Linked DNA regions of Cricetulus griseus. The protein of the gene in region 2 interacts with the protein of the main gene of each other region in a biochemical or structural test. Links are inferred from orthologs where the notes say so. Each region holds a gene or a part of one and is shown on either strand. Other genes may lie near its edges.

Evidence for each region.
Region 1: the proteins of Magi1 (region 2) and beta-1 adrenergic receptor interact in a test that uses a peptide from one of them, tested with the Homo sapiens proteins (2 studies listed by IntAct). The link is inferred for Cricetulus griseus from reciprocal best matches to the Homo sapiens genes MAGI1 and ADRB1.
Region 3: the proteins of Magi1 (region 2) and Fchsd2 form a complex in vitro, tested with the Homo sapiens proteins (2 studies listed by BioGRID and IntAct, with this or other methods). The link is inferred for Cricetulus griseus from reciprocal best matches to the Homo sapiens genes MAGI1 and FCHSD2.

The regions. Positions count from the first base shown.
Region 1 is NC_048596.1:4,713,318-4,716,745, forward strand, and holds beta-1 adrenergic receptor, read right to left. Parts: upstream 2,037-3,428; coding exon 636-2,036; downstream 1-635. UniProt on the Homo sapiens protein: Beta-adrenergic receptors mediate the catecholamine-induced activation of adenylate cyclase through the action of G proteins. This receptor binds epinephrine and norepinephrine with approximately equal affinity.
Region 2 is NC_048601.1:50,147,711-50,151,356, reverse strand, and holds part of Magi1 (membrane-associated guanylate kinase, WW and PDZ domain-containing protein 1), read right to left. Parts: intron 1,908-3,646; coding exon of another isoform or gene 1,819-1,907; intron 152-1,818; coding exon 1-151. UniProt on the Homo sapiens protein: Plays a role in coupling actin fibers to cell junctions in endothelial cells, via its interaction with AMOTL2 and CDH5. May regulate acid-induced ASIC3 currents by modulating its expression at the cell surface.
Region 3 is NC_048596.1:98,440,799-98,444,544, forward strand, and holds the start of Fchsd2 (F-BAR and double SH3 domains protein 2), read right to left. Parts: upstream 2,472-3,746; 5' UTR 2,159-2,471; coding exon 2,138-2,158; intron 430-2,137; coding exon 332-429; intron 1-331. UniProt on the Homo sapiens protein: Adapter protein that plays a role in endocytosis via clathrin-coated pits. Contributes to the internalization of cell surface receptors, such as integrin ITGB1 and transferrin receptor.

The DNA.
Region 1 (3,428 bases), on a different chromosome or scaffold from region 2:
CTCGAAACCAGATTTGTCTGTTTCCGTATCCATCTTTTCCCCTTTGCTTTAAGAACCGGAGACACCAGTACTCCGGAATCAATATGCAATTTCTTTAGAAAGCAAAAGAAAACATTTCCTGGCTAATTATCACCGCTCCCACCAGCACCCCAAACTGGAGCTGACTACTTAGGTTCCTAGATGTGGAACCGGAAGCCAGGTGGTAGACTTCATTCCCCCTTTACCCTCCCCACCTAGTTTCCACTCCGGTCCTTGCAGAAAATGTCAAAACCCATCTGGAAAACAAAACAAAACAAAAAACAAAAGCTAAAGGTGTATCACGAGAACACACAAAAGGCCGAACCCCAGAGAGAAAGGAACCCAAGACAAATCAGAAAGCCACACTCTCCCAACTCCTCCCAAACTTCCCTTTTTGCGCTGCGGACGGTCCGGGGCTTTGCTGTACGTCTGGGATGATTCAGATTCATCTGTGAGTTCACCTGCTTTCGGTCTTGAGTAAACAGAGGTCTCCTCCCTCCTCTGCGGAGCGGCTCAGGGGCGCCCGGCAAGCTCTCTTCCTCTAGGGACGCGGAGCCTGTGTCCAGGCCGGGACCGTGGGGCCGGCGTCCGTGCGCCCGCCGGGAGAGCCTGGCTCTCTACACCTTGGATTCCGAGGAGAAGTCCCGGCGCCCCGGCTCGTCCAGGCTCGAATCGCTGTCCACAGTCGTCACCCCGCCGTTGCAGCCAGCCCAGGGCTCCAGCAGGCGCGCGGGTGCCGTGATCCCCGCATCGTCTTCGTCGTCGTCCGAGGGAGCTCCAGGGGACGGCGGCGGCCCAGCTCCCGCCAGGCAGCCCGAGGCGCGCGGCCGGTCCCCGTGGGATGCGCGGCGTCTGCGGACGGCCCGGCGCGCGCAGCAGAGCAGGCGCTGGAAGGCCTTGCGGAAGTCGGGGCTGCGGCAGTAGATGATGGGGTTGAAGGCCGAGTTGGCGTAGCCCAGCCAGTTAAAGAAGACGAAGAGGCGATCGGGCACCAGGTCGCGGTGGAAGGCCTTCACCACGTTGGCCAGGAAGAAGGGCAGCCAGCAGAGCGTGAACACACCCATGATGATGCCCAGCGTCTTGAGCGCCTTCTGCTCGCGCAGGGCCACGAGGCGCGACGGCCGCCGCTTGCTGGAGCGCCCGTTGGCCAGCGAGTCTGCGGGGCGCGGCGGCCCTGGCGACGGCGAGGGCGCGGGTGAGGGCGGCCGAGCGGGGCCGCCGAGGAAGCGGCGCTCGCAACTGTCGATCTTCTTCACCTGCTTCTGGGCCTCGCGGAACACCCGCAGGTACACGAAGGCCATGATGCACAGGGGCACGTAGAAGGAGACGACGGACGAGGCGATGGCGTAGGCCCGGTTGGTGACGAAATCGCAGCACTTGGGGTCGTTGTAGCAGCGGCGTGCCTCGTCGCTCTCGGCCCGCCACCAGTGCATGAGGATGGGCAGGAAGGACACCAGAGCCGAGATGGCCCACACCGTGCACACGAGGGCCCGCGCTCGCGCGCGCGTCAGCAGGCTCTGGTAGCGGAAGGGCGACGTGATGGCGAGGTAGCGGTCCAGGGCGATGACACACAGGGTCTCGATGCTGGCCGTCACACACAGCACGTCCACCGAAGTCCAGAGCTCGCAGAAGAAGGAGCCGTACTCCCAGCGGCCCCACACCACGATGGTGGCCCCGAAAGGCACCACCAGCAGCCCCATGACCAGGTCGGCGCTGGCCAGGGACATGATGAAGAGGTTGGTGAGCGTCTGCAGCCGCGGGGTCTTGGCGATGGCCACGATCACCAGCACGTTGCCCGCCACGATGAGCAGCACGATGAGCGCCAGCAGGAGGCCCATGCCCGCAGTCCACGGCTGCGACAGCGGCGCTGAGCCCTCGCTGGTGGGAGGCAGCAGCGAGGCGGGCGGCGACGCGAGCACCAGCAGGCGCGCCGCGGTGGCCGCGCCGTCGGGCAGCGGCGCGGCCGACGACAGGTTGCAGGGTTCGGAGGCGCCCAGGGCGAGCGCCCCCGCGCCCATGCCGAGCTGCGGAGGCCGGGGGCGGGGGGTGTGGCGGGGCTGGGCCGCGGCTGGGGAACACCCCAGGAGCCGGGGCTGCGGGGCCCGCGCGGGAGGTCGCGGCCAGGTCAGGGCAGCCGCGGCTCGGGGCCGGAGGCATGGACTCCGAGCGCCTTCTCCGCCGGAGCCGAGCGCTGTCGCCGCCGCCGCCGCCGCCGCTGCTGCTGGAGCCGCTGCCGCTGCTGGAAGAGCCGCCGGGACCTCAGCATGTTTCTGAGCGCGCGGGGCCGACAGCTCCGGCCCCACACCCCACCCCGCTGCCACCCCCCTAGCCAGCCCCGGGGCCGCGCGTCAAGCTCCCGCAGCCAATCGCCGCCAAGGCACGCCCCCGACAACGGTGCCCCCACCCCCCAACACCCGGCACCCCCTCCTACCCGCGATTGAGCCGCTCCAAAGATTCCGGGCGGACTGCGGAGCCAGCATCTCCCCGGCACCCACCGGCTGCAGCGAGCGCGCCCTTTCCGGCTCCGGCAGGCTTCTACCGGAGTCGGGTCTGCTGCGTCCCCGCCCCCTCCAGGGGGTCCCCGCTCGCCCCAGCACCAGCTCTCTTTTTCCCTCGGCGCGGCGCGGCTCCCGCCCTAGCTCTCCTCCTTCCCACCGGCGCCCCGCAGCTCCCGCGCCGCTCTGCCTCCTCTGCCGAGTTCCCTGCAGCGAGGAGGGAATCTTGTTGGCGTTCTCAAGACGCCCAGTGCCTTGAACAGCCTGTCTGCTGGGGTTGGAGGAGTTTAGCTGTGAGACTGGTTCTGCCATCAGGCAGCCTGGCCCTTCCCTGCTCGAGAGGGGACCCGGCCAGCCTGACAGCTTGGGGGGAATGGGAAGTGGGTGTTCGTGGTTAGAGGAAAGTTTCCAGCCAGGCCGGTTGCTGGAGCAGAGCGCGCATCTGTCAGAAAGGCTCTCTGGCTGTTCTCGCTCAGAGCTGTGCTGTCACTCAAGCCCAGTCAATGGAGAAAGGAAGTGAAGGTTTCTGGGTGTTAACAGTCAACGCCAGGGACCAGTTGGACACACACACACACACACACACACACACACACACACACACACACACACACACGCACGCACGCGCGCGCACACGCGCACACGCGCACACGCGCACACGCGCACACGCGCACACGCGCACACGCGCACACGCGCACACGCACACACGCACACATACACACACACACCTCCCAACCCCAGCCAAGGAGAATGACGCCACGGTGTGTGCCGAGTATGAAGGAGAAGTTTGCAACATGCAGTCTAGAGTAGATGACACCACCGCCGCCACCCCGCGTAGAAAGGACACACCGAATGACGCTTCAGAGTTTTTGGCTCTGATTTTAACACCTTGACACCTGCATTTGTGCTCTGTCGCGC
Region 2 (3,646 bases):
GCCCGCTTTTCCCCATGTTGTGATGATTTGTGAAGATCGGGTGGGTAACTGGACTCCAAGGCTGGATGCGGTCTGCGGTCAGGCGGCCCGGGCCTCACTTCCGGAACACCTTGTGCACCGGTGGAGGGTCCGTTCCGGTCGCTGCTGGGGTCTGCCAGGAAGAGAAATAGGACAACAGTTTAACATGAAGGTCCTGTGGCTCCTGGCCCTGGTTCCCTCCCACACTTGACTCATTAGTCACAAAAAACAAACAACTGTTAAAGCAGATTCCAAGCCAACTGAATCTTGGTTAATTTAAATATTACTGCAACTAGTAAAGATTAAAAACTAGCAGTATGGCTTTCAACATCTAGCTGACTATTCCCCGTACCCTGAAGACAGGCCATTATAATGGAAGGGTCTATCTAGAGGTATCTGAACTATGGTACCCTGACCCACACCTATTCTTTCTTGGCCACCCATCAGCCCTTCCCCGTTCCCCCCCAATACCATTTTATTTGTGAATACTTGTTCTGCTTAAAATTAACCTAGGACACAGACTTGGATGGGCATGAGGAAAGCTTTCTGGGGGTTAGAAATAGTCGCTGGCATATTTGAGTGGTGATCTAACAAGAAGCAGGGCAACTGGCTGAGGATCTGCATGTCATACAAAAAAACCATACTTCTACTTTTAAAAAGTGATTCAGAGTAGGGGGTTATCTAGGCTTGAAGGTCCATTAAACTACTTCTTTTACATTTAATTATTTTCTCTACTTTCAAGTAAATTTTTTAAAAAAGGAACTGTATTAAAAAAAAGCTTTCTGCCAGATAAAAGTGAGAGGGATGGGTTATTAGGTGCTTGAGATGAGCTGGGATTTACAAAATCTCTACATTTAAAAGCACCTTTCTTTATGGTGTGAGAAGCAACCATAACAATATGCAAGAGCTGTGGGGCCATGGGACTGCTCCTTAGCTCACTCAGGCATCTACAGATCTAAAGGCTGGACAGCCCATGGCAAGTCCCATTCATCATTAAACTATCTGAACTGACACTACAGCCATTTAAGGCAGCATCTTGAATTTATGAGAGCCTTTGCAAAGTGGGATGTTCTGTTGCAATGATAAACCCATCAAGTTTTAGGTGCCCAAGCTGCTGAGCTGCAACATGGGATACTGGGTTTTATCAACACCTTCCACAGAGACAGCCAGGACAGCAGGAACCAGACGGTCTGTCTAATGAAAGATCTCTCCAAACCCAGGATGAGTTCAACAGAGGGAGAGCTAGAGCCTAGAGCATGAGTCCTCACAGTCTTGGTTCTTCTTACTGGAGAGGGGGTCTGCTATCACTTATTTTGGGTCAGCAATCCCTCTTTAACTTGACCACTGTGGTGCAAAAACATTTTTTAAAAATGGGTGTGCTATATGCCAGTAAGACCTTATTTACAAAACTGGCTTTAACCAGGATTTGGTTCACAGGCTGGAGTCTGCTGAGAGATACCTCAACCAGGAAATGTCCTCTTCCTGTGCAGCAAAGCCTTACCCACCAGGGGAGAGCTCCATGATGAGCCCCATTCTCTCTAAATGCTAAGTGTGCTACTGGGACAAAGACAAAGGCATTCCACATTTGGGGGAGAGAAGCTGTCAATCTAACCTATGATCTTATTCTATTCTTGAGACAAGGGAGAGCAACACTTCAACAGGGTTAGCCATGTACTTACAATTCAAAGAACGCAGGGTGCTCAGAATGAATTGCCAAACATATCAAAATAGAGCTAAGCAGAAGCAATGAGGAAATTAGGCCACAGCACAGAAACACCTAGTATTGATTTAGCTACAAACCGTAGTTTGATTATGGCCCATAAGGTAGAAGCAAGCCTCCCCGAGCTTTTCATTTCTCATACATGCAGCGATATTAGGAGGTATCATCGCTGTAGAAGGGAGAGCCCAGCACCAAGAACAGTCAGAGAGAAGGAGAAAGAGAGAAAGAGAAAAAGTTGAACATTTAGATTCCCTATAACAAGAAAGAAAGAAAAAAAATCTTCATTTGTTAACATAGGGCAAAGAGAGTTTATTTGTCCAGTCAGTCTAAGGCAACACCCAAGGCTGCAGAGACCGTAATTGGAACAGTGATGATTTTAGATAGCTGTTAGATGACTTGAAAACCAGATGATGATGCATCCTTTTGTTTTTTTTTTTTTTTTTGTTTGTTTTTGTGATTTTTTTTTTCAAACAACTGGAACAATGACAGGCTGGCATAGGAGAGCATTAACAATAAACAACAAAAGAACAAGGTCCCCACCCACCACCCCAATACCGCGGCAGTTAAATTAAGTACAAAAAACTCATTACAAAAATAGCCTCACAGAGAAGCAGGTTCCAGTCAAGTCAGAAAAATATTGGAACTTAACATATTATAACCCATTTGTAACTCTAATCAATAGAATTAGAGAGATTTAGTCCAAATGACGCATGGAAACATTACAGTAGCACAACCCTGGCATGTTCAACCCTTTGTGGGAAACCATGTATTTCAATGATCTTTATTTTTAGCCCAAGGAACATTTGTTAGTGTTGGATTTTCATCCTCAGTGCAACAGACATAGGTTTGGAGAAGATACACAGGTTACTGACGATGACTCTCAAATGAGATCACATCCAACAGAAGCATAGGGAAGACAGAAAAGGGAGACATGTTACACAGTTTCAGTGGTATCAATAAACCTAATGGTCAGAGAAGTTAAGCACAGTGTGCAGCCATGGCACCTGATGTCGTCATTAAGGTTCCCTCTGATTGGACACCCACCCTCCCCCTTACCTCAGACCCCTCCCATTGTGCACCCGTTCCAATGTTCAACACCTGGGAAGGCTGCCCTTCGAAGGAGCCACTCTCCTCCTTGAACTATGTCTGAAATTGAGCTTCTCACTGAGCCCAAAATGCATCGGGGAATTGTGCAGAAAGACCTTCAGAAACGAGGGTGATAACAGATAAATCCCGAATAAAGGGGACCAATGTATATGGGGATCTTTCAATCACAGTTTCTATAGAAACTTTTGTAGACCTTTGGTTGGGAAAAAAAGCCCTACATCTAGGGCATAGCTTCCTTTTTTTTTTTTTTTTTTTTTTTTTTGCTTTTTAAATTTTAAACAAGAATCTCAAATAAATAGGACATAATTATCACAATATACACTATTTTGCCATCAGAACACTAACCTAGGCAAAGAGCATTGCTGTCTACTCAAACTATGATTAAGATACGACAGAGGAACTCTACGTATCACCTGGCTTTCCTCATAGGAAAGGTATAGTAACAGGTTTCCCTCATGATGGGCACTGGGAATCTATTTCATCCTTTTTTAAAGACATATGGCTAATAGATCAACATTTGTTTGTTGTTCTTTTGATAGTGTGGGCTCAGGTGGTCTGGCTTGGGGTAAAGACCAGTTGAGAGGGACAGAGAACTGTTGTATACAGAGTCTAAACAAAGTGAGCAAAGCCCCCCAATAGCTCAGAATTTCACACCTCTGCAGTAAAGTAACAACAAAAACAAAACAAAACAACAAACAAAACAGAGCAAAACAAACAAAGAAACAAGCCCAATTAGATATTGTGCCTCAACACCAGTCAGGCAACCTGCTTCCTTAAAGGACTTTGTAGTCATTTGTGCTA
Region 3 (3,746 bases), on a different chromosome or scaffold from region 2:
AACCATTAACCATAAGTGTCAGCTTACAAGTCTGTGTAGAATTGCTAAAGCCAATAATAACTTACTACTTGGTGAAAAGATGTAAGAATTTTCAGTTGAGTGATTACAAACTGACAGACTTACTCTTAAAGCCCTGTTTTTCAGTAGTATGTGTACACTGAGGAAAAGTTTGCACTGTGTTAGTTCCAGTTCTAACTTCCAGCTGAGTCAAAATTCTGCAGCCTGAAAGCAGGAAATCCAAAAGGAAATTCCATCATCAGATCCTGGGGCTTGGCAACTCAAAAGTCCTCAGTGGCAGAGACAGTTCTCCAATTCTTTACTGTAATCTTACCTCATATCTTCAAGTAAATCACATTCTGCCTGGTGTTTGGCTTGAAGTTTTGTCATCTGCTCACCTTGAATGTTTTTCAGTTCTTGTGTAACCTTCACCTAAAACACAACATGTACTTATGAAGACTTTTACTACAATTTGAACAAGAAAAATTCCTTAAAGAAAACAGTATTTGTTAGACTGTATACTTCTAGTTTTCCTCTCCATAAAAACTAAAAAATTCATTATTTGCCACTTAGTTTTACTACTTAACTATGATTAATGAAAAAATTTGCCAGAATTTCTAAAACAGGGGCTGACTAAAAATTCAAAAATTACAGTTTAAAGAGTGTAAACTGTCAATTCTGTCTTCTCTTTCTTCCCAAAGACACAGACAGACATTAACCACCAGGAGCAGTGAGCACAGATGAAAGAAAGCATACAGTACCTAATACCTAGCAACTGAAATTTACACAATCATGAAATAATATGCATGAATAAATTACATAAAATATTCCATAATGGCTGCTAGAAAGAACACCGTCTCAGAATGATGCCCTCCACTCTGACAGCGCATCAAATCACAATCTTTTTCTCACAAAGGAGAACGTAAAAGTGACCTTCTAGAATATGCAGGGCTTTTAAACTAACCCAGTAAGCCAGGCCAGGTGGCAGCCCCACTTCAAACAACGAAAACCGCCGAAGCCAGCTGGCCGGAGACTCCCCGGCCAGACCGGACCCCGGGGGTTGCAAATGGTTTTCGAGTATGGTGGAATTCTGGCCACCAGGGCAAAGCGACATGGAGAGGTGGGGTACACGTGCAGGGGGAAGGGGGTGGGGGAATGAGTTAACTGGAGAAATCCAGATTAAGAAAGGGAAAGGAAAGGAAACAAACGTTGAGTTACTCATGTGGCAAATGTTTGCCCACGAGGGGAAGATATAACTGTCTCTACCCACTGCTCAGAGTAGATATCTAGTATCCATCTGAAAGATTTACAAAGACAAGGACACAGCCTTAGCCGCCAGGAAAGGTGGAGAAGGGCGGCGCAGCAGGGTAAGCTGCTGGCAAGCATCGGAGTACGGCCCGTCACTGCCACCCAGGCCATGCAAACCCCGGCCCTAGTGCTCAAGCCACGCATCGCCAGGTTCTGGCTTTCATACTGGAAGCCAGTTTCCCTGGCCCCTTAGCCGGAGGCGGGGCTGGGCGTCCGGGGGGGGGGGGGAGAGCAGGACCCGTCAATCCTTAATTTGCTTTCCCTTGGGGTGGGAGGGAGATGACCGTACCAACTTCTTTTCCGCAGCCCCGTGGGAAAAACAGGCCAAATTTTGGGGCTAGACTTAAAACAACGCCCCCCCCCCCCCGTGTCTCCGCAAATGTGCCAATGGGTGGGGTGTCGACAAGCAACTGGAGGACTCGAACCTGGCTCAGACTAAACAATCCCACACGCACAGGGCTCTGCAAATCTGCAGGGGCTCCCCCCGCCTCCCCTCTGTGCAGCCCCGAGAAAGCACTTTGCACTGGGCAACACTGCCATGCAGACAGACACACATATGCATGCCCGAAAAAACTCTAGCGAATGTCCGGGGCGGAGGGGCGGTAATCCCTAGTGCAGTGGACAAGCACTGGCCGCCCTCCGTCGGAAAGACACCTCACACACTCGACCCCCTGCCTGGAGCAGGCGGCAACTCAGTGACAAGCCAAGAGGCGAGAGCGGTCACGGCCCCTTGCGGGAAGGGGGAGGGGGCGCAGCGGTCGCCCCAGCCGCGTTCTTTGTACGCACCGCCACCCCCCAGATCTCCAAAGCCCCCCGCCAGCGGCGCCCTTACCTTCCTCGGCGGCGGCTGCATGATGCTGAAGGGACATTAATCCTCCGCCCACCCCCGACGGCGGCGTTTAAAGGACTGTGAGGGTGAGGAGGGCTGGAGAAAAGGGGGCGGCCCAGAGAGCCAGGGCGCGCGCGTGTGTGTGTGAAAGGAGAGCCTGAGGAGGAGGAGAACTCGCCCCGGAGACAGCGAGGCAGGAGGACCGCAGCAGCACCCGGGTCGCAGCAGAGTGTGGAGAGAGGGAGGAGGAGCGCCGGGAAGGCCTGGGGCCCGGGCGGCCCGGGGGGTGTGTGAGGGAAGGAGGCGGGGACGGCCAGGGGGCGGGGGCGCGAGCGGGGGCGCTGGGGGGCTCGCGGCTCGCGGGGCTGCTGAGGAGGAGCGGCCGCCGTCGCCGCGCTTGCCGCCTGCCGCGGCTCGGCTGCAGCTGGCTGACGCGGCGGCCCCCCACCCACTCGGGCAACCAGGCCCTCGCGCTGCCCGACGCCCCCGCCCGGCCGGGAAGGAGGAAGGCGGGGCTGCTCTCCCCGCTAGGGCTCCGCCAACCACTCAGGCCGCGGGAATTTCCGGCCCCGGCCCGCGCCACAGCGCCCCGCTCCGGCGGCAGAGGGAAGCGCTTCTGGCCACCGCCTGCTTCAGGGGGAGCGAGGCCGCGCCACGGGGCTCCGGATCTCGGTGTGAGAAGTGGGGGGAAACTTCATGGATTGATCGGCGGAGGAGAAGGACGGAAACGGGAGCGGGGCTCGAAAGATTCCCCCGGCTCTCTCTTAGAGTGGAACGTTCCAGACGCTTCCCACTCTCCCTCCCCCCACACCGAGAAGGCAGCTGGGGGCTTCCCGCGCGCCTTCCCGCCAGCCCGCCGGGGCGCGCGCCTCCTCCCGGGAGCGCGCACGTGGGCGGGAGAGGGTTCTGCGCCGACGCACGCGCACAGGACGCCCCCGCCTCCAGTCTGCGACTGCACTGTTTGTATGGGAATTTCTCAGGAGTAGAGGTTCAATGCTCTAAGTGGGATTATTTGCAAAGAGGAGGTAGTAGCGAGCAGAATTCCTCATGCTGCCTCCTCTCGGTCCCTTAGGTACCCTCCCTCCTAGTGCACTGGGGAAATTGAGCATGAATAAGTCCTTTTACAACTGGCCGCAGGTGCCAGGCCTATGCCATTGGAGGGGGACAGGTGGAAAGAACCTAAAATTTCCAGTCAAAGGCTGGCTCTGAATTACAGAGCATTTAGCCAGAGAACGTAGAGTCGACTGGAAAAGAACGAAAAACTCTTGAGTCCGGCACTCCCCTATCACAGATAGGAAGGCCAGTGTCCGCAGAGAAGTGGAGATGGTGCCAAGGTCACGTGGAATGACTAGACTCCTTGAGTCAGGAGGGTTATGTGGGTTATAAAGAAACAAGCAAGGGCTGAGGTTGGGGAGGTGGACTTTGCTCGGCGTTAGAGTATAGAGGTCCTGGGTTCATGACCAACACGAAAGAGGAAAGAAAGGAAAGGGAATAGGTGAAGAATAAGAACCATAGGGAGACAGCAAGGCCATGGAGGAATCTTTTGACGGAAGCCCTTGTCTGAAATGAGGACTTCTAGGTCAACCCACTTCGTCCTGAACTGGCTGGATGA